4 linked regions of the Styela clava genome follow. The main gene of each other region encodes a partner of the protein of the gene in region 2 in a complex. Links are inferred from orthologs where the notes say so. Each region holds a gene or a part of one and is shown on either strand. Other genes may lie near its edges. The genes, in order: mitochondrial import inner membrane translocase subunit Tim10-B-like; mitochondrial import inner membrane translocase subunit Tim22-like; acylglycerol kinase, mitochondrial-like; mitochondrial import inner membrane translocase subunit Tim9-like.

Region 1 (8,232 bases), on a different chromosome or scaffold from region 2:
CAGAAATAAGTTAGTTATATATGTATGTATATGCAGGCGCGTTCGATACGATTTCATTGTGTCTCGTCTATATAGATTCCGGGCTATCAAAAGACGTGACAGCAGTTGAGGTTTATCTGGTCTTGTAACAATTTTTAGCACAGGGCTTTAGTGTTGCGAGAGGAAAGGTCACACGAAAAGCACAGGGCAATGTGTATAAGAGCAGGAGTGAAGCCAGGAATAAGGAAAGCAACTTCAAGTCCAGGGTCAAAAGTAGCATCAGTAAATGCAACATATAACAGATGGAGAGTAAACAGTGCAGAGCTGACAACAAGAAAGGTTAGAATAGGATTTCATATTATCCTGTAAGAGGGGAAATGATATCTTAGTCTGGGTTCAGATACATAGACATGTATGGTGAAGTCACAAGTGGCAGTCATAAAATATGAACCACTCTGCAAATATGAATTCTATAGACTGTATGCAGAACAATCAATATTCCCGTAGTACAGGAACCAGGGATTAGGGTCAGGCCATAATTTTGTTCCGATTTTCCTCAAGCGTTCCGGTTGAATATTACGAATTTGGGGACTGTCTGTGTTAGCCAAGTAAATATACCCCCTGCCCATAGGTTTCATCAGTCCTTTTATACAACTTGATGTAAAGTGGGCAAACAAAATTAGTTGGCTCCATATCGGTACATACACTTCTGGAGCGCCCAACAAACCATGAAAATTGAGTAAACTGTAATAACCAATTTGGAAATTCAGCGGTGTGAAAGTACTTATTGGATAAGAAACCCAATAAGGTGAGCAATAACTTATGTGAAAGGCTCAAACATTTACTTTGTCTATTTTTTAATTTTTTACAGGACATGATATTAACAAAGTGGGAAGAGAGAGAAAAAAGAGAATCCCAGTTTTAAAGCATTGCTAAACTTGCATTATTCATACATTATTATATTGACCGTGATCTGTCATTACCTATTTATGTTCAATTATTTTTCATATGTTATTTGTATATACCTTTTGACATATAACTTATTTACACTGTGTGAAAGTGGAACATAAGTGCCAAATGAATACCTCCATAATAACATTTAGGTTCAATTTTAATAAATATTAAAACAATACAAAAAGTTTGAACAACATATTAGAATGGCTAATTTGCACAAAAATACCACACACACAGAACACTGGCCAACTGGAAATGCACAATCTAATTTCATGACAACCGTTCCTACATCACCGCTTAGACTTGCAATGTTGTGCAATAAGTTATGGGCGACTCTGTGGTTATCCAAATATTTTCTATAACTTACATCGCTGATGCGCTGTATTATCAAAGAAACAAATTTATTGTAAATAAATAATAGGCTGGTTAACAAAATGATATTCAAGATCCTACTTTTAATTACGCTTTATTAAACAGTGTAACTTGATTTCATAGAAGCTTTACCTTTGTTGGCGAAAACCTGCCAAAAAGCCTTGCTTTCGATATCCAGAACTATAGATTCCTAAACTGTCTTTATACGCACAAACCAAAATACATATATGAGAAATGCCGTTATGCAGTTTTATCAAACAACATGTGCAATCTCATATAACTCCTTGTTGAATAATTGCATGTGTCTTGCACCAAGAATATTATCTGTTTGTAAAGTTACACAGCTTATCACATTATAGGCTGTTTTTATCAATTAGGTTGTTGTTGCATTTTCTTCATTGTTTCATCTTCTACTTGTGAAGCTTCTGTTAATTTTTTGCCAATTGTTTCATGAATCTCAAAATATTTGGCGATGCAACGATCCAAGCAAACAGATTCCCCTTTTTGTAGTTCTGCTTCGTAGTAGCTGGTACTGATACATTTCTTCTGACATGCCGATGACATTCTGGTTAAAAAAAGTCATTATATTTTTAGTGAATTTAGTCCAAATGTCATCTATAAAAACACAAATAAATTCAAATATTGCATCGATTGCATAAAAGGCGTGACTAGGATTAGCTGCATACCGTGTTGAAGTATAGGTGTTAAATAATAAATATCTTACCTATTGTACATATCAGTCATCATTTCAACTTCAAGCTCAGCAGCCAATTGTTGTTCAGGAGCTACATTCATTGTTTGTAAATATTGAAGAGCACAAATACACTATTTAAAAAATGAATTAGACTAGAATGCAGAAAAAAAAGTTTGTTCTGTTGTTTGGAACACCTGTGACAATGTAAAATTTGAGCAGAAAACAGTAATAATTTGATTCAGCATTTTAACGGTATATAGGCATAGGAAGTTTTTTTTCAACGTCTCTTGGCCTAATAATATATGCATATCGCATATATTAACATATACTGATATAGTAAAGTGAAAATCAGATTGCATTTACATTGAAAGACAAAGTTCTGGTAATAAATGATAGTATGTGACATACGGTATTCGAATAAAGCTCTTAGCCTCAATACCTATGCTCCTTTTTCAGAGATGGAAATGAAGCCCCAAACCCAGACATGAACGCCTCTAAAATATACTAGGCAACACCAACTGTACCTCGATATACTGCATAAGTTAACAGATAAAATAAAAACTCTATTACAGCTTTCATGCACTAAGCCCATCTGTGATTGAATTCTGGCGTCTGGTATAGTTCAGTACCACATGTACTTCTAGTTGACCTGGCTCAACAATTTTTGCATATGTCAATCCTAACCCCCACCTGACTACGTCACCGAAATATTACGTCATTTCGACGTCACAGTGGCGTAATAAGGCCCACCGAAGTATGCGGATGCTCGTCCAAAACGCACAGACCATCACCCGAAATCGAGCAAGCAATTTCTCTCATTTTCCCGTCACAACGGTCACTATAGGAGAGAGATCGCCGGCTTTAGCAAGTTCGTTATCGGCGGCGCAGATGTCATTTCGGGCGATCGTAATTATACTTTGGCAATCCCTATGACGTGAGGGTGACGTCGTAGTGACGTAATTTTTGGATGACATAGTCAGGTGGGGGTTAGGAATAGCATATGCAAAATTCGTTATGCTACGCCCACCGGAAGTACTTGTGGTACAAAACTATACCGTACTAAACCCGAATTCTGAGGGTTAATAACTCACCAAGGCCAGACGGCACCTGGGCAATACTGCCATATGAATACCTATGGCGTCATGAGTATCTCTTGTATTTGGACGATCACAGTAGACCTATGAAAATTGGTCCTTGAGTAGGATAGTTGCAGCAAATCTAAATATGGAGAAAATCACCGAAAACAGAAGTGTAACTGCGAAATGGACTATAGAAGCAACACACGTGCGAATCTGCGAGACTGAAATGGAATAATAAATTTCGCAAAATTACTATACAATTCCATAGATGCCAGATGGCAACGGGTATATCAATTTTGGGATAAACAATGATTTAAACCAAAAAACAATGATTAAATTCAAAAACAATTTGAACAAATTTTTTAGAGAAACTTGAATATTTATACTATTTTGAATATAAATTGAACTATTTTCAAGTCAGTGCTTCCTACAATTGCCACGATTCAATCTACAATCTGGCTGAATCTACTGAATTTGTACCAAAACTTGTTGCGCAATCGTTGTCGTGTGCGCCAGCGTAAACCAATAAATTATTATAAATAGCACATGGCATCTCTGGGCTGGTGCACCCACGTCTCAGGAAAGCCTGATTTTTGTTTTACAGATTTAAACTTTTTGATGACTAGACTCGAAAATATTCGAAACAATTCCGCGACATATACAAATTGCATTGCTAACCTGTACATTTGAAGTTTCTCGTCTAACGACGTGTTATTTTTGTTAAAATTTGTCGCCTAATTCGGGTCCTCTAAAGCGATAAAAGACAATATTGTAGGCGAAAACAGATAACTAAATTGCAGAGTAACCTAGATGGAGGACATAATTTAGAATTAAGTTAGGAAATTGGTGGATAGCGTACGATCTCAACTACCAACAAACCAAGCACACAAAATTTATACTCGATTCAAAATTGGGCATCTGAACATCCTGGTTCCAAACCGATTTTTGTTCAAAACATTCGCCTCCAGTCACTGGTCAGAAGACAGATTCAAGTAACTGCATTAACTTAACAAGATACGATATTAATTTCAAAACTCATTCTCTGTTAATCTAAATTTGATCATATTCAGAATTTAATTTCTACCATTTGTCACATGTCAGAGTTGAAACTAAATTATTGTCCCTGGCTTTCCCGGAAAAAAATCTCACTGGACTGTGAAAACCATTCGCATCAGAGACATCCACGACTTCACCGCCAACCACTGTTACTCATCAAGCCTAAAGTTCATCTGAAATCGTCATCAAACATGTATGTTATTATCCTTTTCAAACTGCATAGATGTAAGACACGCTAGTTTACAGACAGTGTACACACACAAGGCCTCTGCAATCCATATAGCTGCAGTCCAGTGTGGTTATAAGGCAGTAGAAAACACATGGATATAAAATACTGCATTTTATCAGGATTGCCTTCCCTCAAATTTAAATATGAAAATATGAGCAGCTCAGTGTATTTATCGATATAAAATGTGTGCATGATTGCCTTTTCCAAATTCAACATACAAAAATACGAACTATGATAGTTTTATTCTTTTACATTCCGATTCATCAGTATCACCATTTTTTGATTGTTCATATAAAAGAGAAAAAGGAATTTCAAAAGATAAACAAAGCATGTATTTTCCTGGTGCAACTTTTCTGACTTCCCGAATACTATGTTCAGGAAGATTTTCACTGAGGCTTTGTTCTGCTCTCTCTTTAATATCACCTAAAATAAATACATATTTAAGAATAGTAGTAGTGCAAAAGATTGTGTCAGAAAGTCTTAAATTTGACAAAAAGCCTTAATTATATAGGAATCATACCTTTTAAATCTTGAGCAGATGAAAAAGCATAACAATAAACAGTCACTGGAGGTAATGAACTTGATGTCTTGTTGTCTTCAGCTCGACTAAATGATAAAATATTATTGAATTAAATTAAACATTCCGATTGCTAAACCGTTCCTTATCAATGTTGCATACTTAATATTCTTGACCAATCCTGTGAATGCATCTAAAAATTCTATTGCCAGTGCCGGTAGATTCATTATAACACATATTGTCTCTGTTTTTGATGACAATCTATAAAAGTTAAAATGCAATTGATAAGATAGATGGGTTAATTCATTTTCAGTCACCATCCCTGGGGTATTGAATACTAGTGGTAAGATACCTAATACTTACTGCAAATGTTTTCCCAAGCATTCTTTGATAAACTTTCTGCCATCCATATTGAATGCATTCAATTTCGCTTTATTTAGTTTTGAATTGTGTAAAAGCCATTTGTATGATTCTTCATTTAAGTCATTTGCATATACTTCACAACCTGTTGCCATAATCAAATTCATTTTCATAAACTCATAAAAAAAAAAACTTGATTTCAGTAAAATGGAGGGGAAAACTGCTACAAAACCATTTAAATAGAGAATCTAACAAACTTGAAATGTTATTTGAGGAACATGTTCACTCTCAGCATATAGGGTCGTAGCTTGAAACTTTTTCTTTATTCTGAAATGTATTACAGTGGTGGATGAATTTTAATAATTTTGCATATCCCATTTTTGAAGTACGAAAATTTAATAATGGAAAACAAGATCATTATAATTTATATTCATGCCATTTCCAAAACGACAGCATGATACAACTTACAAAAGTCAACAAAATAGCAAATACATAAAAATATTTTGTAAAAGTGATAACGAAAAATTGTCGAATTTAAACCCTTTGGGTAGTACTATCAGCGAGTTCTTTGATTGGTAGTTTACCTTAATACCTTTTTTGGCAAGTGGTATGGAGAAAGGTCCAACTCCTGCAAATACATCAAAGACAACAGATTCCTTTGGAATCAACTCCACTATTCTCTGATGCTCAGTTTGCAACTTTGAATTCCAGAAAACCTGAATGAAAAAGGGCTCCAGAGTTTAGATACTCGTATGTGAATAGAAAACTACAGTACTAATAAATTCTGCATCATTACTAACAACAAACCTTTGAAAAATCGAATTCGAAAATATTGCCATATTCAATTATTTTGGTAACAAAATTTGCTTCACCGGCAATAACCTCCATTAGGAAATTTCTGTATGTATTGTCAATAGTTGAAGATTTATTCACGACAGTTGTGATTGCTTTGTGTTTGTCAAGAAGTACCTGAAAATAAGGTTTTGATAACAATCACATTTGCGAGTTAGAATGAGAATTATTCCTAATTATTAAACCCTTCTGAAATAATTTATCAAAGTACAGTCACAACTCACAATAATTCACTCAATTGATCTAGGGCAGATGCAACATCTGTAGTTGCACATATATTCATGTTAAACTTGAATATTGTCGGAGGCATAATGTTACAAAGTGATTTAAAAACCATTTTGAAAAATTCCAGAAAGAACCATAATCAACATTTATGAGCTTTGAATGGAGAGAAAAATATGAGTTTAAATATGGTAAAAGCAGTCAATTAATAATCTTCATCAAACCATTTCAGAAAATTAAGCTGGTTAACATTTGCATGAGATTGTCAAAATAGTAACCGTTGCTCGATATATCAAACTAATAACAAACTTCAATCCAAGATATAACTAACCTGACCAATTAATTTCTTGTATGGCATTTGATGTTCTAATAAATTGACATGAATGATATGACCGACTCGTTCAAAACCCGATGTTGAATCTAGTCCTTCAGGTAATACTGCACCAATAATTTCTTGGTGCTTGTATACATCATACCTGTAATATATTGAAAATATATTTACCAACAGGTAAACAAGGCATATGTTTCAATGATATGCATACAGTCAATTTTAAGTTCATTGCACAATAAAAGTCATTCCATATGGCTTTGTTTTGTGAGGTTCTTTCTATTTTGGTACAATTTAAGTCTTTGCATCTGAGACAAGTTAACTATTTTCATACACAGCATGCACTGGCAACTGGGGTTCACTATGCAGCCGTGGTTGACTATATCATTAAGCCATCTTATTAGCTTCTCTCTAAATCAGGATAAAAAAGAAAATCCTACCTTACTTAATACAGTATCTATATTTATTTGAATTCAGAAAATGTCAGGAATCATTAATATTGAAATTGTGTGATATTCGAAATACAAAGAAGGTTCTTGATTTAATAAATGAGATCCGTTTACACAGAGATTTAAGACTTTTGAATATGATTTTAAATAAGATCAAATAACTTAATATTATTTATAGCAATTGATAACAAAATTAAATACCACACGCCAAAATAAATCAATGGTCTAGATGGTCTAGCACAGTATAACGCTTGAGTAAACTTATTGTTTATTAGATAAGAAGTTATAACAAAATATCATTGCTCAAAGATATAATAACCTTATTTCCAACTTGTTAGTGTAAAATCTTGATTCAATTTGTAAATCGTTTAAAAGTTGTTGTTTGAATTCTGGAAGAGATTTGAAATTGAAGTCTTGTTTCATTACAACAAATTTAGCATTTTTTTGAGCTTCACAATTTTCTGCAGACAATAAATTTGCTCCTCTCCTCTTAAGAATGTCTTCTTTAAATTTCTTCTGGAACTTATTGAGTGAAGAAAAAGGTACTAGTATCGTGTTGACATCTACTTCCTTTTTAAATGCGGACCTGTTATGGCGGAAAATTCATTAAAAATGTAAGGAGAGCTTCCAGAATAAATAAATGAATTGCAAAAGGATAAAAATATACTTGGGGTTATTTAGTCCACAATCTCCATCATTCAAAGTAATAGCAAATGAACATGCCAGTTTAAGTAGTTCTGTTTTTTTACGAAACATTTGAAAACGCATTACAAGACATTCAATATCTCATACCTGTCTAATTCAACCATTCCTCTCACACCAGATGGTGGTGTGAATATATTCTGGTCACTTTGATTGAATGTTTCACCATTATTCATGATTAAAGAAAAGATTCGGAGACGCTTTTTCAAATAATATTTGAGAGAATCCAATCTTAATACTCTAAATGACATCTGGAACTAGAGATAGAAAACAAAGTATCGAAAAGTAATCAAGTGATGTGCTGCAATGAATTAATTCAACCCTAATTAAAAATAATGATGGATTTCTAGATAATGAGAAATTATCTGTATTGAAAATCAAGATTTTTGAATTTTTTTTTTTAAATTTAAATCATGATTTTGTTGAAAATAAAGTCAAT
Region 2 (8,177 bases):
GTATTTAAAAAACGATGTACAAGAGGGGCCCCCCAAGTTGATTGACGGCGAGCCAAAATCCACAGCAGAATAAAATTGTAGGGCCAGAAAAGGGCAGCGAGGAAAAGTGCAGGACGGCACGGCTGGGGTTCAGGGCGCGCTTAAGCGCCCTGAGAAAATTTTGAGAAATAGGCACCAAAATAGGCTCTAAGCTTGATTTTAGATACACCTAGCATCGCAGTTTATTATGTAATGAAATCAATAAATATAATATTTAGCTGATAGAACTCCCGGGAAATAGATAATAAAGCAAGGCTTTCAACCGTAACTATATACTACTAGGTTTCAACAAGTAATTTGCAACTGATAGTGACTAATGAAGTTACTAGCTCATCTGACATTGTATGAATGGCTACTTATGGCTTTTTTGTTACACATTTCACATTTTTTTGAACATGTTTGTTTGACTTTTGTATGAATTATGCAATGAATTAAATTTTGAAATACGCGCGTCAACTGATCATAATGGCGCATAATGTTGTATTCCTTCAGAACTGAAATATTTTGTTGGTAAGAAGACAAATCGCTGAAATTTGATTCTTTTCAATAAAAAAATGAAAACGCTGTCATTCATCTAAAAAACGTCTGTTTTCGGTGCCTAGTTTTCGTTTTGTGACATTATTAAGCTTCCCTAATATACGGCTGATATCTAAAATACTGCAGTGTGTAATCCTAATACCCATACGTATACATAAGATACCGATATAATTCAATTGTTACGAAATAAACATCCTTAAACTGTGATAATGATGTAACAATAGACTGTATCTAAAACTCAAAAGGTACCAAATGAAGGGTTAAACTATTTATTTCACTCAAGTTCGGCGGGCCATTTTAAATCGTCACGCGAGCCGTAATTGGCCCGCAGACTGCGGTTTGGAACCCCTCATCTACACTGATGAATATGCCATAGGCGTTATATTTGAATACAATTATACTTGATTTGGAATTACAGTGTGGAATCTCACCTCAAAATTAGGGGGGGGTGTTTGAAATTTTAGGGGGGGTGTAGGGAAATCACTGGATTGGATTTATTCTGCAAGTCATGATGATACAATTTTTATTTAATAAGTTTGTTTGATTTCATCTGTCTGATGAATATGCCATAGGCGTTATATTTGAATACAATTATACTTGATTTGGAATTACAGTGTGGAATCTCACCTCAAAATTAGGGGGGGTGTTTGAAATTTTAGGGGGGGTGTTCACCCCCTATAGGGGGGGTGTAGGGAAATCACTGGATTGGATTTATTCAGCAAGTCATGATGATACAATTTTTATTCAATAAGTTTGTTTGATTTCATCTGCTTTTCAACTCGGCAAACAAGGTGTCGCTGACACGATGACTTACTTCATAGTCTTTCGCGGCCCCGCGTCAATATTGTATGTTTAGTTTATATTTTTATTATTATGTTTGTTTAATTTTGTGTGTACAATATTTCAAGCACGACGAAATAAATATCTGAATCAGCCCCTCGACGTCGTTGTGAATAAGCCTCGAAATTGAACTGTTGAACTTGACTAATGTGTATGTATACTGTACTTTCATCTATCGGTACATATCTCGAAAAAAATTGGATGATACTGAACATATGGCTTTACTATATTGCTACCAGGTCTTCATAAATATAAAGTGGGCATTGAGAATGAAGCATACAGTTATCTTTCATAAGATCCATTCTGCAACTCCCATTCAGTCAGTTTTTGCCAGTGCGTTGAGGTTAAGGATTAATAAGTTAATAAGTAACAGAGACAATTCGTCATAGAAGAAACTATTATTCAGTTAATCAACGGAGGAGAACCAGCCATCCAAACTCAAAATTCTTTCCATTGTGGTTTTCAGAAACCATTCTGCCAGCAGCACATGACCACTCAATCTCAGTTTTCATGCAGCAACATACCTCTTTTTGAGACAGATTTACATATATCATTGTAACAGTGTCATGAATGACGATGCAAAAGGTAATAATCTATAAGGAATGAAAATGCCGCAAATCCAAGTCCACCAAATAATCCTGCTTGAATTCCACCTCGTAAGCCAAGAAGACCACCGGTGATAAACCCAGCAGCAGGTGTATTTTTTGGGTCAGATTTTCCGCGATACTGAAATAAAACATGAATCTTTAAATTCCCACTAAATTCCAAGTGGTTTTCATGTAAGAGCAACATTCGATTGTCATTGAATATACCATAATCCAGTCCATGCATCTGAAACAAACAACTGGTAACCATTCCCATACCAGACTGGTAACCAGTAGATCTTGACTCACCACTCGATTAAGTCCAGTGGTGGGATTCAAATTATTTGTCAGCCAGTTTCATCACAAAAGTCATATTTTTCAGTCGGTTCAGTTAAAAACAGAACATTGACAATAACCAGTAATGCTAACCGGTTTGTGATCTCATAAAATTCTGTGAGACGGTTCTATAGAAACGGTGCGAACCGGCTGAATCCCACTACTGATTAAGTCATCATATCAGCCTTCCTCCATATGGAGATAAATACAAAAATTATATCTCCCAAACTTGCAGAGAATGTTCCTAACATTCAAATTCAAATTCAATATCGGATGTAACCGCATATGCAAGGGCAATTTGACTTGACTAGGAGTTCTCAATATTATTGAGTTGTGACTCAACAACAAGATCATATCGTAATACAAAAATAAAGCAGACCTAACATCTATTTTTCATGACAAATCAATCACTATACCGTTTCCAAAGCACATTCAGTTGCAGAAAACATTGCTCCAACAAAAGCAAATGTTTTTCCAGATGAATGCATCCTAGTCCTCATTTCACGTATCGTTTCTCGCACAGTGGGAATTTTAGATGGATCAGTGACAGGCGATTCCACTCCATACATGAATAAACCAAGCACTGCTCCAAGGCCATAACCTGAAAAAAAGATTTGCATGCATTAATGACAGCAGTATGAGAATGGTACAGCTAGAAAACGACAAAAAAAACTTTTTAACAATCAAATTTCTATGGGGCCATACAGTTCGAAATTTGTTGAAAAGAGATATGAATGACTCAAGTTTAAAGCATAATTTTCAATCAGACATGGATATTATGAACTAGATGACCTGTTGAAACAACTATGGTATGATCCAGGGTATTGCATGACATAATGAATAATTTTACCTCCTCCACAGGTTAAAACACTTTTGAATACGCAGCTCTCCATGGTAGCGGATACAACTTTATCGGTTGTAGTAATTTTAGGTAAAAGGCTGAAGTTTGACTCTCTGTCCAGGAAAGGGAATGGCTCTGTTCTTGGTCTTTTGTAAACATTTGTCATGTGCTCCAAGATTGCAGTATATGAAATATGGGGTCTTTGTAATAATAAAGGCTGGTCTTTTCCTTTGGGATCATCTGTTGGTAGCATGCCGAATACAAAGTTGAGCAATGTCAGGACTATTTAAACATTTATATAACGAGGCCAACCATCTACGTAATACAAAGGATAACATGGTGTTATACAAGATGAAACAATTACTTAAACATGATTGATATGACATTGCAAAAGTATACTTGTACCAGAGGAAAGCAGGAATTGAATTTTCTCATGAGATAATGGAATGGCAATATGAATTACAAAAACATAGAAATTACAAAAACAAAAGAACTATCAAAGAGCAGAAGCACAATTGATATTACAACACAGTAAATAAAATTGTAGGCAAGCAAAATAAGCATAGAAAAATAAGATTTATGAATCAGGTAATATACATCTAATGAGCCATATCAGATATTTTTCGAAAAAAAAATCTTGCTGCAATGATTTCAGTTTGAATAATTATAAATATACTATTAATGAAATATTTTAGCAAACTCAATAGAAACATACTGCAAAAGTAAACTTGAATGAAGGAATTGAAGCAAAACAAAAATATATTCATCACAAAACAACAAGGCAGATGGAATGTTATTAGTACGTAAGAACCTCTAATTTTATGATATTATTCAATTAACAAATTAGGCTTCATCTTTTTTTTCTTCAGTAGGTTTTTCTTCATCCACTTGTTTTCCATCTTGAGCACCTGCTACCTCCTCAACCTTGCTCCCATTTTTTGGAGCCTCCTCCTTCTTGTCCTCATTTTCTTCCACTTTATCACCCGAACCATTCTTTTCCTCTTTTTCTTCCACTTTATCACCAGAACCATTTTTCTCTCCTTCACTCTCGGCCTTTTTTGTTTCAGGAACCTCTTCCACTTTTTTTTTTTCTTGTAGCAATTTTTCCTCCCAGTCTGAAAAGTATCTGTCACGCATCCGATCAGTGTATTCACCAAGGTTCTTAAGATCATCCTTCATCAACTTTTCCTGTTCGCTTTCGGGCATTGTGAAGCGGAACTGAGCCAACAATCCAAACAAACTTGCATCAATTTCAGTAGGATTTTCACCCATGAAAAATTGTTTATCACCAAGGTAATCAGACAACGCTTTCAAATCATTGGCAGAAATTTCATGAATCTCTTTTACAGAGTGGCGTCCCATTCCATGACCATTCAGATTAGACTTAACATTTGGTTTGAGGATCATGGCTCCCGCAATTGGCATAATCTTTTTGTAAAAGCCTGTGACAGGAATTATTTTTGAAAATGATGAATAATTTTCCACCCAACGATAATGCACCATTGTCCAGTACAGGTTTTCCTCAATCAATCTTTTGAAAGCTAAAGATATTGATTTTTCCTGCAGATTCAGAGAAGCATCTAGGTCTTTTTCATACTTTTTATTCAAATATGGAATAATGAAATTGGTATCACCAAGATCTTTTCCATCAATCTTAACAAATGGTATTTTTCCCTTTGGAGATTTTTTTAAAGAAACTTCTTCTTTATAAGGGATTTCGGTCATCCTCAAATAGGTTTCCAGTTTCAAAACAAAGCTTGAAAGTGATGGTGCAACACGACTTGGCCCAGTATGACAGAAAACTACGCCATCGTCAGAAGAAGCAGCAGTAGTTGTGGCCGGCATATTTTATTTTTTAATTGATGTAATACAAAACAATTCACCTCAAAAAAACTCAATCAATAACTGAAATGATGAAGAAAATTACATCACTACTGAGTTATATCTAATACAGTAGTTTTTGACTTTTGTACTAGTGGTACTGTACTTAATATTTTTGGGTCTTGTGTATTTCTTACCTCAAGTACTTCTAGTAGGCGAAGCATAACAATTTTTGCACATGTCAACCCTAACCCCCGTTTGACTGAGCCATCCAAAAATTATGTCACTATGATGAATCACAGAATCATGTCATAGAGCTCGCCAAAGTATACCTTCCAACCTACGACCGCCCGAAATGGCATCTGCGCCGACGATAAAGAACTCACTAATGGCAGCAATCTGTTTCATATCGAGATGGATCATTGCAATGAGAAAAATAGCTTGATTTCAGGTGATCGTCTGCGTGTCTTGGATGACAGTTTGTAGGCTATACGATTTATTTAGGGGCCGTTCCGGTAATTAAAGGAACCCATTTGTATACTTTGAAGGGCCTTATTATGCAGTTATGTCACCGTGATGCATTAGTGACGTAATTTTTGGAAGACAATTTGGATGAGGTGAGGTTAGGATTGACATATGCAAAAATTGTTATGCTACACCCACTAAAAGTAGCCTACTGGGCCGTGTTCACAACATGATGTAAGTACATGAAGTAGCCTATGACATTGAACAATACTTACAGACTTATGTATATACAGATGTAAGTCAAGATTGTGTCCTTCTTCTTAGCTCCACCAATGGCATACCGGTAGCACTAGATATATATGTATATACAGATTGCACCTGTACCAGTATATAGACTACCGGTAGGCATAGAATAAATGTGGCACTATCAGACTACCGTTCACTTCAGGCCAATCACTTTTGGCATGGAATGGACAGAGACAAATTCATGCGAATAGGCTATTTCAAATTCCCGCCTGTCAGCAGTACCGTACTGCCGTAACCATGCAGTTTTGTCAACAGGATATCATTTCGACAAGACGATCCAAAACTGCGCTTGGCGACCCAACCCCTCTCGGTACCATGTTAACATAATACCGGCACCACGAACATGCGGATTGCGTTGACTATGGATGTTTCCTCAACCCTTGATCCCTGAAAGTTTCTCCATATTATATACTTAATTGCAACATTTTCAACGCTAATTTTGAGATTGTTTTGGAAAGTTGGCGCTTACAAACTGTCTCACATATTAAAAACAATCTTTTTATTCAAAACAATAAACCACGTGCTGCTTACAGCTGTACAGGTACGGCACCGACAGCTTATTTTAGGCTAGTTTGCGGCAGCCCTTTTTGATTATTGCACCTAACTAAAGACATAATGACAACTAAGTTATTTGATTTACAATTATATTTGAAAACATAACTAAAAACTGACAAATAACACACGAAACTAACAGAAAGAGTGAATGTAGTTTTGTGACCCCTAAATTAAATGATTGGTGTAACATCCATTGAGCTTTCATTAAGCCATTTTGTGCCTTCACCTAGCTTTATAAAGCTTCTTCAGTTCTTGTGCCAATATCATCCCCTCGGGTTAAAGATTTAGAGAAGGAACGTTTTTATGCGAATTGGGCCGACATATCTTAGTATAACTCATAATACTGTGAAAGCTTCGGCAACACATTTCTCCAATTGGCTGAATGAAATTTTTGTAGTTACTACAAAAGAAAGTTACTACCCTATTTACACCTCCAACTTATACCTAATGAAAATTTCAAGTGCATAATTTATCGAATGCAAGTTCGGCATTGTGGCATATATTTTCAAAGAGTATATAGATTATCATCTCAATATTCAAGGATTTTCACTGTAACTGTGACTTGTGAATGGGCCAGATTCGAACGCTATCAAAATCGAAATGGATAATTGCACAACAACAAAGGCATGCTGTATAGTCCAGTGGTCGGTGGTTCCCAACCTTTCTATCCTGGCGGACCGGTAAAATTGTATATAATGTACCAGCAAAAAATGAAATTAGTGGAACATATAATAATAACATATATTTGCGTAATGTCGAGCACTCAATATACAAAAAAATAACCCAAGTAAAATGGCACCAGAACGACCGGCTGGGGAGGGTAATGCTGAGGTGGCAATACCTTCAGTATTTGCATTTGTTATTATTAATATTATCTGCCTGCTATACTCGTTCTGTTGGATATAATATACAAAGATTATTTCCTTATTCCCAATAAATGGTCCACATTCCTTGAAGACCAAAATATAGGATATTCAATAGCCTTGTTGAACGAATTTTCCGAGTTGCAAACAGAAATTCTTCAGCTGTGTGAAACACAAGCAGGAAGTGTCACAGACTGGGAAGTTGGCTTGAAATCGTGGTGGCTTCGACTACAGCGCCACAGTATATTCAAACTGTCCGTACTTGAGGTTTGTAGGAGTGAGCACTACCGTGGAACATGAGCCCAAATGCAGTTTCACACAGGCAGGACTCCAGACTGTCATATAAGCAGGGATGGCCACAACTGAATACTTGACTCTTTCGAATACAGTCTAAAAAAATATTTTCGAATTTGGAATTACGAATACATTCTAAAATCCCCCACATTTTATTTACTTTTCTTAATTCCAGGGACATGGGAATTAAATTTTAATAAATATTGTATTATCATTGTAAAGCGGCCGTGAATAGAAATGACATGTGTGATATTGAAATTAGTGATATTCTTGCTTTTAAGAAAAGAGACTTAATAAACATCGCAGTATTTATATATACTTATGAATTGTGGTGTATCTTGACTAGAAAAAAAAAGAGCAACTAGGCGGCTAGTGAAGTGTTTTAAATCATATAGTAAAATCAAAGTTATTATTAATAACACACACACTTTTGAGACGACTGATACTTGTTATAAATTCTGACTGTTTATTGACTGCGCGAGTGTCATTTAGTCTAGTGGTTCCTAACCCCCGGTCCGCAGACCGGTGCCGGATCGCGGGAATTTTCATTTTGTTGTTTTTCTACCGTCTCAATCGCCTTACCGAAGCCGAAAATACGAAGTTACGTTAGTTTATTACGCAATTTCTCTTCCGCCGCCGTATTGCTCTTTGATACGTGCGGTATGGACCGGCGACGTCGTGATCACCGGCGCCGAG
Region 3 (8,870 bases), on a different chromosome or scaffold from region 2:
ACATACTTTGATGATGAACGATATCCACGAATAAGGTATGGATCCCGTGCAAAGTGGAGACGGAGCCGATGGGCCAAGGTTGAATTTTATTCATGATATAGCGCTTTGAAGTGACCCTTCTGAACTAGATATAGCCTACTTCTAATTTTGATTAATTCCAAAGCAATCATGATGATTATTATACTTGAAATAGGCTTTTCGGAAAACTCTCCAGTAAATAGGAGAACAACCAGTATATTTCGAAGAAGCCAAAATATTTCATTACGGAATCATTAAATGATATTTCGGGAAAGTTTATGTTACATTTAAGGATGTTATCATGCCAAATACTGCAAAAGTTCAAACACTGCTACATACAGTATTATCAAAATTTGAGGTTGGATGTTGTGCATCAGTTGATGAGTACTACTTTGATGAGGAACGATCTCGACTGGAAGAACGATATCCACGACTAAGGTATTAATCACGTGCAAGTGGAGACGGCCGATGGGCCAAGATTGAATTTTATTTATGATATCGCGCTTTGAAATGACCCTTCTGAACCAGCAACAAATAAGAATGCTGTCGATGTCACTTTTCAGGAACTTGTAACGATTGACATACTCACTCACTGGAAATCTTATAACTACCTGAGCGTTCATCGGTGTACCGAAATAAAATCTACCTGTAGTGAAGCGTATACTGATCGAAAAACAGAAATCAGTGTTTTGATCGTTTAATCTGAACATGAAAAACTAACAGCAAAACATCTCTTATACCCCATACTGGTATATGATCTTATGCGTTTCATTGTAGTAACAAAATTGAACATTCGAGAAGAATAAAAAACGATTAAACAAAAAATGTTGAATTATTTAAAGTATAATATTAACAACTATCTACTGATATTTCCACCTCCTTTACTTAAATATAGCTCTTAGAATGTCAGTGGAAATTTGTTTAACTCTGCACTTTTTGTTGAAAATCAAACGATTTACCTATACGAAGAACAGTTGAGAACTGGGATGTTCGAACGAATTTATAATTTGAAAATGGTGAATATTTGATTTTTCGATATTTATATTATGGTATGTTTGAAAAGTAAAACTTGGTGGTTTATGAGTGGAATTCTCACAAAAATATATATTCATCAAACATGGCCAAATTTAAAATGTATTTGTGAACAGTAATTGAGACTGTATTTGGAATATTGGATAATTTTATTCTGAACAATTTAAACTGAAAGTTTTATCCCGCTTTTCAAGCAGACTATATGTTCGATTCAAAACCGTACTATTCATTTTATGTTAAATTGTTCTGGAACAGGCAATACCAAATCAAAGAGTATGCCAAAGCATGAGTTTTTAACTTGGAGCATATGGACTTGGAAAGAATTTCATTTACGCGAAACAATAGGAAAGAGCAGTACAAAAATTTGCAGAAAGAGTTAAGGCAGTCTGTTTTGAAGCTAATTTAATTAAAAAGTCCTCATAAGGCAGTATGAAGGGCGGACTGAAATACCACCTTAGTCTATGTTCGACATTAACTTATTAGAATCGGGTTGCACATTGTATTGTATTTTGAAAAAAGGGAACATCCTCATTGTAAATCTACAATACCAGGAATTTTAAACTATTAATGACATTATAAATCAATCCAAGGGAGTGGAAAATCAGGGGAAAGGATGGCTTAATTATGTGGCGAACCATGGCCTCTTGTGCGGTTACCAGTCCATGTTGGGTAATGGATTAGATAGACAGTTAATTCGTTGCAGAAACCTTTTTATTTTGAACAAATCATGTTAATGCAATTGGGAACTAATTGGACAGATAAATCCATTGCTTCATATCTATCATTATCAATACTAATGTGTTGCTCGTAATTATCAGATAATTGTGATGATAACTTTAATTTATCCACTTCAAAATCAGAGTCAGTGTTAACAAATGGGTGATCACCCTTTTGGAATATAAATGGGCCATGTGTAACAAAATCAGTGTACGACACATTATTAGACTCGAGCTGTACTTGTATCGAGGCTTTCTCTCTTCCCTCAGAATTCAAATGCTTATTCGCTTGAGCAAAAAACTCAATGCTTGTTTTGGGTAAATCATTCCAATTTTCTTCAATTAACTCAGCAGTTTGTTCAATGAGTGGCTCTGATTTTGATTTCCAAGGCCAGAACCTGTAAAAGATTTTGGAGAGAAGGGAAGACACCGAAAGGCCAGAACTGTTTTCCACACAATTTTCTTCTAGGGAAATAGGAACAACCTCAGGGTCTGTGTATGATATAGAAAATGTTCTTGGCTTTGTAGGGTCAGACTTCAATAAAGACAAAACAAATGGTATGTATGATTTCAGAGGGCCGAGAAACCAAAACTTTTTTATTCTATCCTGAAGATCACTATAGGTGCCCCAACTGATACTTGAAACAGCATACACAGTTTTCCCAGTCGAACCATCAATTTTCATAACATCCACAGGCGTTTGTATACTTCTGGTTATGGCAGATGCTGCGCTACAAATAAAATGAGGTTGTTTATCATGATCCGCATTTTGAATCAATCTCTTACACATTGTATTTTTCTTGCCGAGAGGAATAATTCCAATAGGAATCTTCTTCCAATTTGAATCTGGTCGTCGCATTAAACCTGTGACAATTTCACTTAGAGTTCCATCGCCGCCAGCACAAATAATCATATCAATGTCATTGTTGACAACAGACATAAGTTTTTTAGCTTCTCCCTCATAGTTTAATTTCACCAGATGCACATCATAACCAGCAAGATGTAGTATTGGGGCTGCATACTTCTCATACAAAGCATTTGCTTTTCCACCATTCGCAGCAGGGTTCAAAAGAACTGTGACACGCTTTGCGTCTTGAAGTTCATGTAAACTTTTTTGTCCAAGCTTTACAGCTGTTTGACATTCAGCCCTTCTGAAAAGATGCGCTATGTATCTTTTTTCTGCCCATTTTCCGAACCATGCTAAGACGATTGCACCAGCAATAGACTTTTTTGGATTGTTTTTCACAGCTTTTGCAAACCTAATTACAACCATAATCTGTAAGTTATTTGCAGAACTGATGACCAAACTGCGATAAATTTTGACAAGTAAGATAAATTTCGAATTACCGCAAGTAGGTACCGTACCAGTGCCCGGTCTGCAGGTCTGGTGTGACGTTACCGCGTTGAGGGGGAAAAAGCCGGAACAAAAATATGGCGAACCATGGCCCACGTCCTGACGTGTGACGTCCGGTTACAGTACCGTACCGGTCCATGTCGCGATGTGGGTTAGGTACCGGTATGGGATTAGTTGGCCAGTTACTGGTTCCACATGCAGACATGCATCGAAGCATGGACTTGGTCGGCTGGAGCCAAAACCGACCTGCAACATGACGTGATTGTGACGTTGTAGTAACGTACCGTAATTTAAAGAAACCCATAGCCTATGCAAAAATGGTCATGCCACCCCCACTAGAAGTACTCTAGGTACCAGTACGGTACTACACTAAAACCCAATTTCCAGCACACGTTACACGGCATCTCCATGCCTGACCAATCAGTAGTAAACCATGGCCTGACGCCGACTGCCGCAGGAGGTCCCTTAGCTGTTGATCCTTGAACTACTTTGAAACCTCAGTTGCCATATTTAGTCTCACTGTGCTACGCCTATTCATATTTATTTACCTACCGTACTTTAGTTTATAATAGATCAGTGGTTCTCAACCGGAGGCTGGTGCCCCCCTAAGGGGGTCACGACACAATGCTAATAATTGACCCTAAAACGATTTCGTTTGCATATTTTCCTTTTATAATAAAATTCTCTGCGGCGTTCACCGCAGTTTAATTGCCTGAATAGGTTGATATGTATTCACTTTCTTGTGCGTGAATTGTTTGAGCATAATGGACCTTTCCCCGACCTTTGATCCCTGGAAAATTCTTCCTATACTTTACCATTGCAAAATTTTCAGTGCTATTTTAGGAATGCTTTTGCGAGTTGGCGCCTGTAAAATGGGGTATGTGTTTCAAACCATCATTATGATTCATCGCACACAACAATCTGTTTTTTAAAAGTACCGGTAGATAATTTCAGGCTAGTCTATCACAGCTATTTCTACACTAATTTTTATTACTGCAATTAAATTAAAACTCCTAGGAAGACAGAGTGATCATTGAATTATATGATTTTTTATTAAGTTTCCGAAACACAACTGAAAACTAACGAATAGAGTTCAAAAACGCGAAAACGAGGTAATGTTTACAACCACGCTTGAAAATCTGTCTGAGTGAGAAAAGTGTCTGAGCGGATGCGAAAAGGGGGCATTGTTACGTCACATTTTGCATCTTGCTGATTGGCCAATGTCACGAAGTAAACAAGGAAGTCGATGCTCGGGGAAAGGTCCATGGAATATGAAATCTACCAATATAGTTCGCTGGTAAGCCGTCTAACCTGTAATTTCACTAGACTGCGAGATAACCTTCGCTATCGTATTATAGACGGAAATCCCAAAATACGAAAATGGAACGACAGTTACTTTGGCTTTACAAAAGTAAGTCGAGATGACCGAGAATGTCCTCAATACTTGCATTGCTCGTATGTAAAGAGCAATGAATCATTAAGTCCATCTAAACTCCAAAACCACCGTGACAAAAATCATCACCGGGTAAAAGCGTTGATATCGGATTCTTGGCTGCCAAGCGAGTTAGATTGACAATAAAGCAACATTGGCCAAGTTAGGGTTTCTGCCGGAGGATAAGCCCGCTTTTGAATGCAGCTTTGAAGTGGCATATCACTACTTTTACCCATTACTAAGAAAGAAAGCTTCTTCACTGCTAGTTCATTTGTCGCAAGTTGCGACTCGCAACTTATCTGTAAGTCGTCAGACAGTCCCGAGCGATTCCCACTCATTGTATACTAGAAAGCTCTTATACTTTCTTGTCCGTGGTTTGCTTTTGCATTCCATAAAAGGTAATAAAAACTTAATACAATCCAACACGTTTGGTTTTTTGGAATGGCGAATGGCCACGAGTGCAAAAAAGCGCCGGAAAGGGGTCACGAACCATAAAAGGTTGAGAACTGCTAGAATATATGATGTGACGCTAGAGCTCTATCATGGTATTTTTGGAAAGTAAAACTTGGTGGTTCACAAGTAGAATTAACTGCCTCCATGCAACGCTGCCTCTGAGATCTGACCTCTGGTTGGGTAAAATCAATGTTCAACCAAAGTATTCTAGATCTTTTTTCAAAAAATCCCCTAAAAAATTTTTCTGCATTGGTAACATAAAATCACTTTGGGGCCATTTGTATCTAAAAATTCTTCGTTGTAGACTTACTTGTTGAATATTTTGGATTTCTATTATTAAATCTGAAATAAATTCATTTTTTTACTTTCGGATTATACCTATTGAAAATGAGTTTTGAAACTTCCATTTTTGATGATGACAGTTCTTTGTTAAAAGGCCATAAACATCAAATACAGGCTTTGAGTGCTGTTCAAAAAGAAACAATGGACCTTTCCCCGAGTATCGACTTCCTTGTTTATTTCGTGACATTGGCCAATCAGCAAGATGCGAAGAGTGACGTAACAATGCCCCCTTTTCTCACTCAGACAGATTTTCAAGGCTGGTTGTAAACATTACCTCGTTTTCGCGTTTTTGAACTCTATTCGTTAGTTTTCAGTTGTGTTTCGGAAACTTAAATAAAAATCAGATAATTCAATGATCACGCTGTCTTCCTAGGAGTTTGTTGTAGAATTTTCATTGTAGAAATAGCTGTGATAGACTAGCCTGAAATTCTTTACCGGTACTTTTAAAAAACAGTTTGTTGTATGCGATGAATCATAATGATGGTTTGAAACACATACCCCATTTTACAGGCGCCAACTTGCAAAAGCACTCTTAAAATAGCCCTGAAAATTTTGCAATGGTAAAGTATAGGAAGAATTTTTCGAGGGTCAAAGGTCGGGGAAAGGTCCATAACAATGGCGTGATTTTTTTCAATCACTAAGTTTCGCCTACTGAAACAAAACCAAAATTTATATAGTACCAAGTAAAATTTCTGATTCCGGCCAAAGGCAAAATATTTATTGTTTACTTCTTCGAAACTGAATCACTCTGAAAAATATTTTTGAATCTAGAATATATTTCATATTAAACTATGTCCAAAATATATATACTTAATAGTACACAAAACACGCATCTACAGGCTGTTACATCGAGAATCGCATTCACTTTATTTTTGTTTTGACTTAAACATTGCGTCCGTTTAACTTGTGTAGTAATTTATTTGTTATTGTTGACGCCGTAATTTCCCTTGATTGACAGTGTGCTTCTACACACTTTGTTACGAAACAATTGTGAGAGTCTTCGTGGCAATTGCTTGCCCAGACATGTCTCGCTTAGACAGGGATAGTTTCGGTAATTTGTTTTAGATAGCGCTTTACTTTTATAGGAGAATGGCGCTCGTTTCGTTGTAATTTGTAAATAAGTTAAAATTGTTCAGCGACCTTGACTTTCTGTTTTGACAGTAGGACGATTAAATAATGTAGATTATGGCTGCCCCACATAGGCCTAGTTTAGGGATATTTTATGAGCATTAGATTGCCTTTGTGATTGTTTTTACAGTTATAGTTTATTTAATTGATTTGTTCGGATTTCATGGACGAATGATTTCTTAATCTACTTATGATAATTTAAGCCTGGAATAGCAGACAACAAAATGTTTGTTAAATGTGTTCATAAATTTGAGTAGGCTTTCTAAAGGCCGAATTGTGTACGATTATTTATTTATTACAAGTATTTTGTATTGATTTGTTTTTACGTTTGTATTAAGATAACCGTGTCAACTGTATACTTCGAGTTGTGTGATTTTCTGGAGTGAGGATACGAACTTGGAGCTTGAAAGACCGCGTTATTGAACTGTTAATAAATATCTAGGTTCCATTACATTTGAACCCACGTACATTTGAACCCATGACAATTGCACCTGTATGCTATTGCACCTATAGAATTTTTTTTGTTTCACGGATAGTTAAACCCATACTAACCCTAACCCATGGGTTTTAGCACCCGCATATAGATTGAACCTGTGAATATACGCATGGGTTCAAATGTACATGGGTTCAAATGTACGGTCACCAATATCTAGTGTGCAGTCGGTGTCGTCCAGGTCACAAAGAACGGCTGTTACATTAAAGTTATCGAATTTCCGCAAATAAAGTTATCAAAATTTGCATATAACGTTTGGTATTGCATTAATAAAGTATCGTCGAATGCCGACAGGAGTTCAGTAAATCGTCAAAATTGAAGAAATCATCGTACTGTTGAATATTTAAACTTTTGTTGCATGTTTGAAGAGCACTGTAATTGTACATTATAGATGCAGAATCTGTTTCGAAATCAAATTTAGAAGAGTTACGTGCTCGTATGAAGGAATTATATCAAGATGCTGAGAGACTTATGTCAGACTACCAAAATCTAGATTTGTTGAAATTGAAAAGTGCTGACATTGACAAACGGTTCACAGAGTATTCAAATGCTCATGAAATTCATGTGAGTACTTTACGTTCTGAAGAAGATCGAAGAAATGTCAGTGAATTTTTCCAGTGTGAACTGCGCGAGTTTCAAGAATTCAATGTGCACTTACGCGATTGGTTCAAAAGTCTGACGTTGATGGCCCTAAATCATCGACACATAGCCCTAAAGCACGTTCTATAATTTCTGGAAAAAGTTCCCGTCGTTCGTGTGCCAGTTCAAGTTCGAGTACTAAACGTACAGAAGCCATTGCCATTAGAGAACTTGCTCATGCTAGTATTTGACAGCAAGTAGAAAAAGATGCCGCAAAAAAGCGAGAAATTGATGCGAAAATGGCAGCAAAGAAAATGAAATTAGATGCCCAAATTGAAGCTGAAAGGCTGGAACGTGAAGCTACAGAAAATGCTAAAAGGCTGGAACGTGAAGCTATAGAAAGTGCTAGAAGGCTGGAACGCGAAGCTATGGAAAATGCTAGAAAGCAAGAGCAGGAAGCCCGAATGAAGGCTGAAATAAGAGCTAGACAAATCGAAGGGGATGCTCAAAGTGGAACAAAGCGTTTGGAATTGCAGCATGCTTATGAATCAGCCTGTATAGCAGCCCATGTATGGGAAAATGCTTCGCAGGGAGGTGAAGGTATGTCATTATATGAAAATATGTCTCGTTCACATTCACCTAATCAAAACCAAGAAGTACCAGTGAATGAAATAGGAGTGCCGGTATCGAAGCCTCCAGATGTGAGACCTAAATTGCCCGCATCAGATTTGTTATCACAATCTAGAGTCAGAGTGGGAAATCCTGTATTAAATGTTGGAAGACCTGCTTCTACTGTTAATATGAGAGAAGCGGTGAATGTGAATATACCGGATCGGTATGAACCATTAAATCAACCTCCGTACACAGAAGCACAAATCCCACAACGAAACACGCATGATCAATCGTCACCAAATGTGGAAAGTTTATTGGGCAATATGGCATCTATGTTGCAAGACGGAACTGATAGACCTAGACCTGAATTATTGCATTTCAGTGGAATAGAGACTGAATATGTCCGGTTTATCACTAACTTCAACTTAAATATTGATAGAAGAGTACATGATACAAGTAAAAAGTTGTCATATTTGGTACAATACTGCGAAAGTGATGCGAGAGAACTGATTATGCACTGTACAATGTTGGCACCCGATGAAGGTTATAAAGAAGCATGCGATTTGCTCCGAAAGACATACGGTCTAGAAAATATTCTGAAAAGTTGACTAAAGGACCATGGTCGAAACCTGGAGATAACGAAAGTTTGTTACGTCTTTCTCAAACGTTAGAAGAATGTTTAGTCACTTTGAACATTTGAAATATTTTGGG
Region 4 (7,336 bases), on a different chromosome or scaffold from region 2:
ATCTTCTTTCACTGCAAAAACATTTATACGCAATTCCATTGTCTAAAAGTTGATTTGCGTACCTGAATGTTGGAAAGAAAAGATTAGAAAATTTCAATTATGAAAACTGTTACATAGTAATTATTTACTAAGATATTTTCTATATAACTTGACTATAGATGAAGACCGATATAGGGAAAATTTCATATTCATGAAATTCCTCATAAACATGTCATGGGCAATGAATGCATTTGAAGATGGAAAACCAAATCATTTTCAACAAAACTTTTGAAAGACTGGTAAACCGGTCTGGAAATTGTGCATTGTTATGAATCAAAATATTATAATTTGTTTGAAGCACAGTAGTCGCCAATTAAAGTAAATGTTCAGCTTAGCATAACATACTTTTCATATATATCCAATCTTTCACTTTGTACATAAGGTCCGAAGTCTCCCCCAATTCCTGGTCCTTCATCTGGTGTTATTCCAGCCCATTTTAATTGATTTAATAAATTTTCTACGACACCAGGCACAATTCTTGATTGATCAGTATCTTCAATCCTGATGATAAACTGACCACCACCTAGAAAAATGTTAAAGATATGATTTACAATTAGTTCAGTGATAAATAGTATTACTATTTAGTATTTACAACATGGTGAATCATTAAGATATTGCTAAGAAATATTCACCTTTTTGGGATTTCACAAATAAGTAATTGAGTAAAGCAGTTCTCAGTCCACCGATATGCAGAAAACCTGAATAATAATTATTTATATAATACAATATTGATATACAATTTATATATACAATATTGAGTGGGATAGGATTTTCATATTAATCTCGAGAAGAGGAAAGCCGATGGCTTAATGGCAACTATTTTTTGTTTCAGATGCATTGAATTGACCAGCGGTCATGTGAACCACCCTACGGAGTCAAGCAATCCTCTCTCACATAATTATACCACATAGGGATCGAAATTGCAAACCTGCACAGGGCTCAAAGTTGCAACGGCAATCATAATCCTAATGCATGCTACGAGGCGCCCACCGCCAGGCTAAGTCTCGACTTGGTTGGTTATTTATTAATAGATAATATGCCACCATAATCATATATTTTTTCGATAGCTTTTGCCTCTCCAGTCACCCACAACATCACTAAAACATCATTCATCTACTGTAATGTTCATATTAAATCAATTAAAAATAAAGAAACCTGTTGGTGAGGGTGCAAATCTAACACGGACATTCCAGAGGTGAGATGAAATAGAAAATCTACGACATCGTTGATAAGTTTTGCATGTAAATCTATGATTACAGATATTTAGAAGCCAAGATTTGTAAAACATGACAAATAAAACATTCTGAAAAAATTGAAAACCAATCAGAACGATGAAGGCATTGTGAATCAGCTGGATAATTTCTAACACAGTATAATGGGTTGAAAGAAAGTCAAAATCCTAAAATAAGTAATTAATGTTTTGTAGGTAACTATGTTTAAATCCTATTTATATAACATGTTACTCCAAAATATGACACACACAAAATCAACGTCAACAAGAATGCAACATTTTGTATATAAATTTTCTCCCTTATGCATTCTAATCTAACACAAATGTCATAATACATTTCATGGATGTGGAACTTCATATGGATTGTAGCAATTAGAACAATAGATACTTAATTTGCAATTCCCACATTTGTTAGCACGACTGCTACTCAGCTTAGCTGATCAATTGAGAAGAGCACAGTGAAGTCACAAAAGTTTCTCTCCAGATAGCATTGACACTTTGAAAGATTTGTTTGAAATACAATTTAACTAATCAACCATGATATCAATAGAGGAACACAATAGTGTCAACAATAGTGTTGATGATGAATGTATAATTCAAGAAATATACTCTCAAAATATACCAATATAAAACAGAAAACTTTAGTCCCAAAATGTTTTAAATTATTTCATAAAAATTATATTTTTATTCAATCCAATCACATACAATTTCCTATTCCGATCGCTAGTCATTTTCCTATATTTAAAACCTCATATTAATGTATTAACACATTTGAAATTTAAACAGCAATATATATGCTATAATCATGTGCCAGGCTTCTTTAGAAACCCTGCTTGTGCAGCGAGTGCTTCATTTTGCTCTATAAAATGTTCCTCAAATCTTTGTCCAATACGTGAAGTTGTTTTCAAATACTTCTGCAAACAGTTTGAAATACATGTGCTTTCTTTTGACAAAACATTCCTACTGCCAAAATCATTGACACAGTCCGCAAAACATTGTTCAGTTATTTTGTTGTATGTGTTTAAAAATTCCTTAAGTTGTTTCATTTGATCTGGTCCAACCAGTTGAGACATGCCCTGAACCCCAGCCATTGTTTCGTTTACTCTAATGCACTGCACTACAGTTGCACCAATACATAAATCTGAGTAAGAAAATAAAAATAGGGGTTAGGCGGATAAGCCGTATAGCTGTATAGTGGGGCAATGGCTGTAACAAACAAAACAAATATGCTCGGAAAACTAGAGAACAAAGTTTATAATACGCAATGCACATGCTCGTTCACCAAAAGTAACACAAATTATATATTTATAAATAGTAAAAAGAAACTCAATGAGCAGCAGTAAAAGCCTCCTGAGGCGTTTCATGTAAAAAACGTGAGTTACAAATACAAAAATTGACAATGAAGTTGATGGTGTGTCGACACAAACAGCCAAATCAACGTAACGTATGGTAATTTGGGCAATAGGCCTAATTACATAAAATACCCCTGGCCTGGTGCATGTATATGACGGGTAACTTATATTACATAAATTTACCATGTATATCTGTACCTTGTCTGCAGCATGCGGTTTTTGTAGATGCAAATTATTATTTTTTTTTTGCCAAATAAGTTCTAATGCCAAACGGAATTTTCGTATCATTATTTTGGAATCGAATAATTTTATTTTAAATACGTGGATTAACTCATTTTTGGACATATATGGTTTATATTACCGTAAATTACTGACATCATGGTAATGGTATGAATTTCATATTTATTTGGATTTTTACTCTACTATTGATATATATATTGCGGGAAATGGGATTTAAATAGAGAAAACAAAAAACTATGTACCGTATTTAAAATAAAGTGGATGCAAATTAAAATAGCGTCACATACAAAACAAGGACCATACCAACATCCTACTACTACGCACACTGCAACGCTAAGCTACATCATGCTTCTCCACAAGATGAAATTCGCCGCGCTCTGATCTATAGTGCCCCCACATGGCTGCACGCCAAGGTCGATATCAGACATCAGCAAGACGCTAGCTAGCTAATATCTCCAAGTGCTGCGCATCTAACATCTAAAAACAAAAGCGGGTTATCGTGATAATCAGTGGTTCTATCTAGTAGTATATATTTACGGTTCTATACACTAGTGTGCCGTGAAAGATCATCAGACTTGCCGCAGAGATTTTCGAATTAACAAAAAAAAATTGAGTTATTTGTTTCAGTGTGTAACAAGACTTTCGAATAACTCAGAATAGTTATCTTAGGATCGGATTTCCATATTTGTTAACTTTGTATGTTTTACATCCTATATGAAGTTTTGTATCCTCGAACTCTGTAATCCGTATTCGTTTGTTTTGATAGCAATGAACCAGCACTGAAGAAATACCAACAAGGAGTCACGAAACGGACATGAGGTAGCATGAAGAAGAATATATGGAATTGATATTCAACTGTCAGCGGATGCTACAAATGCTATTACTATACATTTTACTTAAATAAGAATTAAGATTAAATAAGAATTTGTAATGTAACAAGATATGACAATTCCCATGCGCAACGTTTTTAAATATTCACGTAATGGCATATTGGGGAACGAGAGTCTTGTTACGCCACTGGTTATGGCGATAATTAAATTAAACAATAGTATATACGGATATGATCATCATATATATATATGAATACTGTCATTTCACAAAAATGTAAGTATGTCTTTGCCTATGTTGCTCGGACTAGATTTTCAAGATATTATGACACACTATATTGTCCTCAGTTAATGTTGCCGTATCCACTATTTTAGTCATTGTCATAGTTATCACACCGTTACAATCAATTAATTACAATAAATTAAAAGGAAGATGGGGTAATATTCTTGCTCAATGGCGCGGTCCTTTTGTTCATCAAATAAATAAAACCACAAAAAAGAAAAAACTTCTTGTTCTTCAAAAGAATTTCATAAAAAGTGTGATACTATTCTTCTCACATGACAAATATGTTCATATGGATAGAGATTTTATTTCCCAAATAATGTCAACACTTGAAACATTTGAAGCAACAGAAACAAAAAAATAATAATTCAGTAATAATTGGTTATCATTATTTGTGAGGGCCAGTATACAAGACCGGTAAGGTCACCAAGGCTGACACCGATGAAATATATAAATTGAAAAAATTGGATTCTTCTTATAACATAGTACCTCCTTGTTTGTGATAGAGCCTTGTTCGAAGAGAAGTTATTGAACACGCGATTAGAAGATGATAATATTCTTGTCCGACAGCTGTATTCAATTTTATAAGTCCTAAGCTAAATGAAAGATTTTTTTTCTTCACAGGAGGCACAATAGTTGTCTGCATACCAGCGACTGCTCGTTCAGAGCCTGGTACAGATTACTCAAATAAAAATCAAGTCATATATATATACCACGAAAACAGTGTATTAAAATGGGGGAATGAATTGTCAGAATTGTTCCCAATGCGCTGTTCCTTAAATCAAAAAAGTACTCGGCAAAATATATCAGCAGTGTAATTCTACGTCTCATCAAGTTTGGGCGATGTCACAATCAAGCGACAAAACTTGTTTAGAGCTTTGCTACGGGCAAAGGCTACGGGTAAGTCGTGAAGCTCCTTATCAGAAGATGGAATGAAACCGATCTTATACAATAGCCGTAAGCCTATTCAATCTAATAATTCTATATGGAACGATTTTTTATAAATTATCGGCTTTCCTCTTCCCCGGGATAAATGTGTAAATCCTATCCATTACCAATAATAGTAATATGGATGAATGAATTGTTGTTATGGATGAACTTAATAGTGTGTCAGCCTAATGCGACCTCGTTGATAATGCGCCATTCCATGCGTCCTTGCTGTTTGTAAACGCAACCCGCTGTTCCTAATGAGCTGTGCTACACAGCGGACCCGCGATGAAGCAAGTCAGCGCGGCGAGTAAGGAAAAGATTTTCATATTTAGCGTATTCCTAATTTTGCCAGTCTTATTTCCATCGATGAGCTTGCATGTCACTGTGTAACTCAACGACTGTTTGGCAAATCAGCATGGTAAGAGATTGTATTGTCGTATGTCAGTATGTTTCCAGTGAAAATTGAGAGGGATTTTCAACAGTAAAATGAAACCGTAAGTAGTATTGCTGGAAATGAACTATGCGTATTGCCGTGTGTGAAATAGAATCTAAATTTGTCAGTCACGCAAGTTATATATGAATCGTGAATATTTTGATTAGTTTTTGATTTTATTGAAAGAAATATTCCAGTATTCAGCTGGAAGGGAACTAAATAATGCCAGACAGAAAAATTATGAAGAATTATACACATAATATTAATCTATTAATACGTTTTTTTTTAAATTACATATTATACTACTTAATTAATAATTGATTGACTGTATGCTGTTGTGATAATTTCAACACTATCAAATACAGTTCTCTGATTCCAAGAATAGCCCCCACGCCCCCACATTAAAAGACATCAATAATAACAGTGAGTGCAAACCCCTCCCTCCTTTACGAGACAGTGTACTGGTGTAGGCCAGGGGTCGGCAACCTACGGAGTAGTATAATCCGCGACTGGTCACTGAATTATAGTAACAAAACAGCTGTTTTGACGATTATTCTTTGAGTAACAGAATTCATTGTGAGACACGTGTAGACTAAATTATATTATAATCTAACGAGTATAAAATTCACAATTACTCGTTTAACTATAATTTAATTGTAATTAGACAAATGGCAACAAAACGCAGAAATGTTGATGCTAAGCGCAAAGGGTTCCATGGCGCTGAAAATATTCAAATGGAACTTTTTGAGATGCAATGCAAAGAGGAAATAAAATCTATATTCTATTCGAGAGATGTATCACTGCTTGATTTTTACTATAAAAAGTATCATTCGTTCGGTTTTCAACTTTATAGAAATATGTCCGGTGCGCCAATGACTTGCAGCTGCAACCCTTAATTTTGGCCCGCGGGCGACAAAAGGTTGCCGACCCCTGGAGTCGGCCTTCATATGGACTCAAAACGGGAGGCTGGGAGGCGCAGTTCTTACCACTTCAGCACTTCATGACAGCTCCTGCCACGAACGTACCGCGGCGTCTCTTGCCATGGTTTTATCGCACGATTACCGGTATATTTACAAAGTCATGTACAATATTTTAGTTTATCATGCAGAATTATATTTACTTAAACCTAACCCCAAATACATCAAAACTGTATTCATAAGAAAAGCGTTCCAACTTACCCAATATTTATCTCCATAAGGGGCAGCCCTGCTTTTACAGCCGACATGCCGTGGTAACGGCAGCAAAATTGGTGGTATTCGATTTGCTGCCGTAACAACGGCAGCCCGCTATTGGTTTGTGGCAGCTAAAAAGTCAGGGCCGTAGGTTTGGTCATAGCGGCCATGGTTTGGAAATCCCGCCATGGTTTTGCGGCAGCTCTAGACGCCTCAAAATACTTGAAACTGCACTTGCAAAACTGCAATCTGGCACTGCGCAATAAACTAAAAAAAAGCGCAGTCTAAAAACGTCACCATAGGATTCCATAATCTAATTTACAGGAGGAAAAAAATTTTACTGTAGCGTTTTGGTCACTTGACGGCAGACTCATATTGGTATTGATTTAAATTATTACTGAGACAAGCTTAGTGCGATCTGACGCATCTGCCGTTGTGCCAGACGCTCTCGTTTCAGACACAAATAGGTAACCAAATTTTGCGACATCTTAGAATCAGAGAATTGTGCCCCACTGAAATATAGATGGATTGGATATACATGAACGCATAAATTATATGCTTAGTTTATTATTACCGTAGGTATTTTTGTTTATAATTTATAATTCTTATCCCATTCCTTATGTTTCAGTTAGAATTAAGTCTATATAAATGGGTGAATTTGCTGTTCATCGATGCCAGTTGTTCGAGTACACTCCATGCACTATACAATGCATCGCTAGTTATGAATCGTCTGAAGGTACTGCTTCACAAAAATTGTTAGCAGTTGGGAGAGAAAATGGAGCTATCGACCTCATCAGATGTACGAAGACTGGTTTTTATAAGTATATGG

What was found.
Region 1: the proteins of mitochondrial import inner membrane translocase subunit Tim22-like (region 2) and mitochondrial import inner membrane translocase subunit Tim10-B-like are in contact, whole or in part, in a cryo-EM structure (PDB 7CGP), measured with the Homo sapiens proteins. The link is inferred for Styela clava from reciprocal best matches to the Homo sapiens genes TIMM22 and TIMM10. Residues at the interface, in NP_037469.2 of Homo sapiens: Tyr25, Ser26, Leu28, Leu29, Gln30, Tyr31, Leu32, Val33, Arg40, Leu42, Leu47, Gly48, Glu67, Glu144, Ser145, Tyr146, Gly148, Ser150; in NP_036588.1 of Homo sapiens: Pro3, Ala6, Gln7, Leu9, Ala10, Ala11, Leu13, Glu14, Val15, Met17, Met18, Ala19, Tyr22, Ser44, Lys45, Gly46, Glu47, Arg53, His62, Glu63, Gly66, Leu69, Thr70, Ser73, Met74.
Region 3: mitochondrial import inner membrane translocase subunit Tim22-like (region 2) and acylglycerol kinase, mitochondrial-like share a complex: the UniProt entries of both Homo sapiens proteins name them as parts of the TIM22 complex. The link is inferred for Styela clava from reciprocal best matches to the Homo sapiens genes TIMM22 and AGK.
Region 4: the proteins of mitochondrial import inner membrane translocase subunit Tim22-like (region 2) and mitochondrial import inner membrane translocase subunit Tim9-like are in contact, whole or in part, in a cryo-EM structure (PDB 7CGP), measured with the Homo sapiens proteins. The link is inferred for Styela clava from reciprocal best matches to the Homo sapiens genes TIMM22 and TIMM9. Residues at the interface, in NP_037469.2 of Homo sapiens: Asp35, Arg37, Gln38, Pro39, Arg40, Leu42, Gly45, Ser46, Leu47, Gly49, Ile50, Ser52, Pro53, Lys60; in NP_001291414.1 of Homo sapiens: Gln13, Glu16, Phe17, Thr20, Leu57, Thr60, Gln61, Met65, Phe67, His71, Gln74, Asn75, Leu78, Lys81.

Annotation. Positions count from the first base shown.
Region 1 is NC_135253.1:5,421,876-5,430,107, forward strand, and holds mitochondrial import inner membrane translocase subunit Tim10-B-like, read right to left. Parts: upstream 2,206-8,232; 5' UTR 2,101-2,205; coding exon 2,030-2,100; intron 1,871-2,029; coding exon 1,675-1,870; 3' UTR 1,073-1,674; downstream 1-1,072. Other genes in the region: uncharacterized protein LOC120326221, read left to right, coding at 139-318, 851-904; tRNA (guanine(37)-N(1))-methyltransferase-like, read right to left, coding at 4,593-4,786, 4,884-4,969, 5,043-5,141, 5,244-5,385, 5,833-5,956, 6,048-6,209, 6,646-6,790, 7,411-7,677 and 1 more.
Region 2 is NC_135252.1:2,511,760-2,519,936, reverse strand, and holds mitochondrial import inner membrane translocase subunit Tim22-like, read right to left. Parts: upstream 3,433-8,177; 5' UTR 3,431-3,432; coding exon 3,187-3,430; intron 2,938-3,186; coding exon 2,753-2,937; intron 2,143-2,752; coding exon 1,981-2,142; 3' UTR 1,625-1,980; downstream 1-1,624. Other genes in the region: failed axon connections homolog, read right to left, coding at 4,021-5,022. UniProt on the Homo sapiens protein: Essential core component of the TIM22 complex, a complex that mediates the import and insertion of multi-pass transmembrane proteins into the mitochondrial inner membrane. In the TIM22 complex, it constitutes the voltage-activated and signal-gated channel.
Region 3 is NC_135253.1:878,493-887,362, forward strand, and holds acylglycerol kinase, mitochondrial-like, read right to left. Parts: upstream 3,589-8,870; 5' UTR 3,040-3,588; coding exon 1,762-3,039; 3' UTR 700-1,761; downstream 1-699. UniProt on the Homo sapiens protein: Lipid kinase that can phosphorylate both monoacylglycerol and diacylglycerol to form lysophosphatidic acid (LPA) and phosphatidic acid (PA), respectively. Does not phosphorylate sphingosine. Phosphorylates ceramide.
Region 4 is NC_135254.1:14,339,345-14,346,680, reverse strand, and holds mitochondrial import inner membrane translocase subunit Tim9-like, read right to left. Parts: upstream 2,412-7,336; 5' UTR 2,362-2,411; coding exon 2,074-2,361; 3' UTR 1,469-2,073; downstream 1-1,468. Other genes in the region: nondiscriminating glutamyl-tRNA synthetase EARS2, mitochondrial-like, read right to left, coding at 1-62, 385-562, 672-737, 1,195-1,327; U3 small nucleolar RNA-associated protein 4 homolog, read left to right, coding at 7,156-7,336. UniProt on the Homo sapiens protein: Mitochondrial intermembrane chaperone that participates in the import and insertion of multi-pass transmembrane proteins into the mitochondrial inner membrane.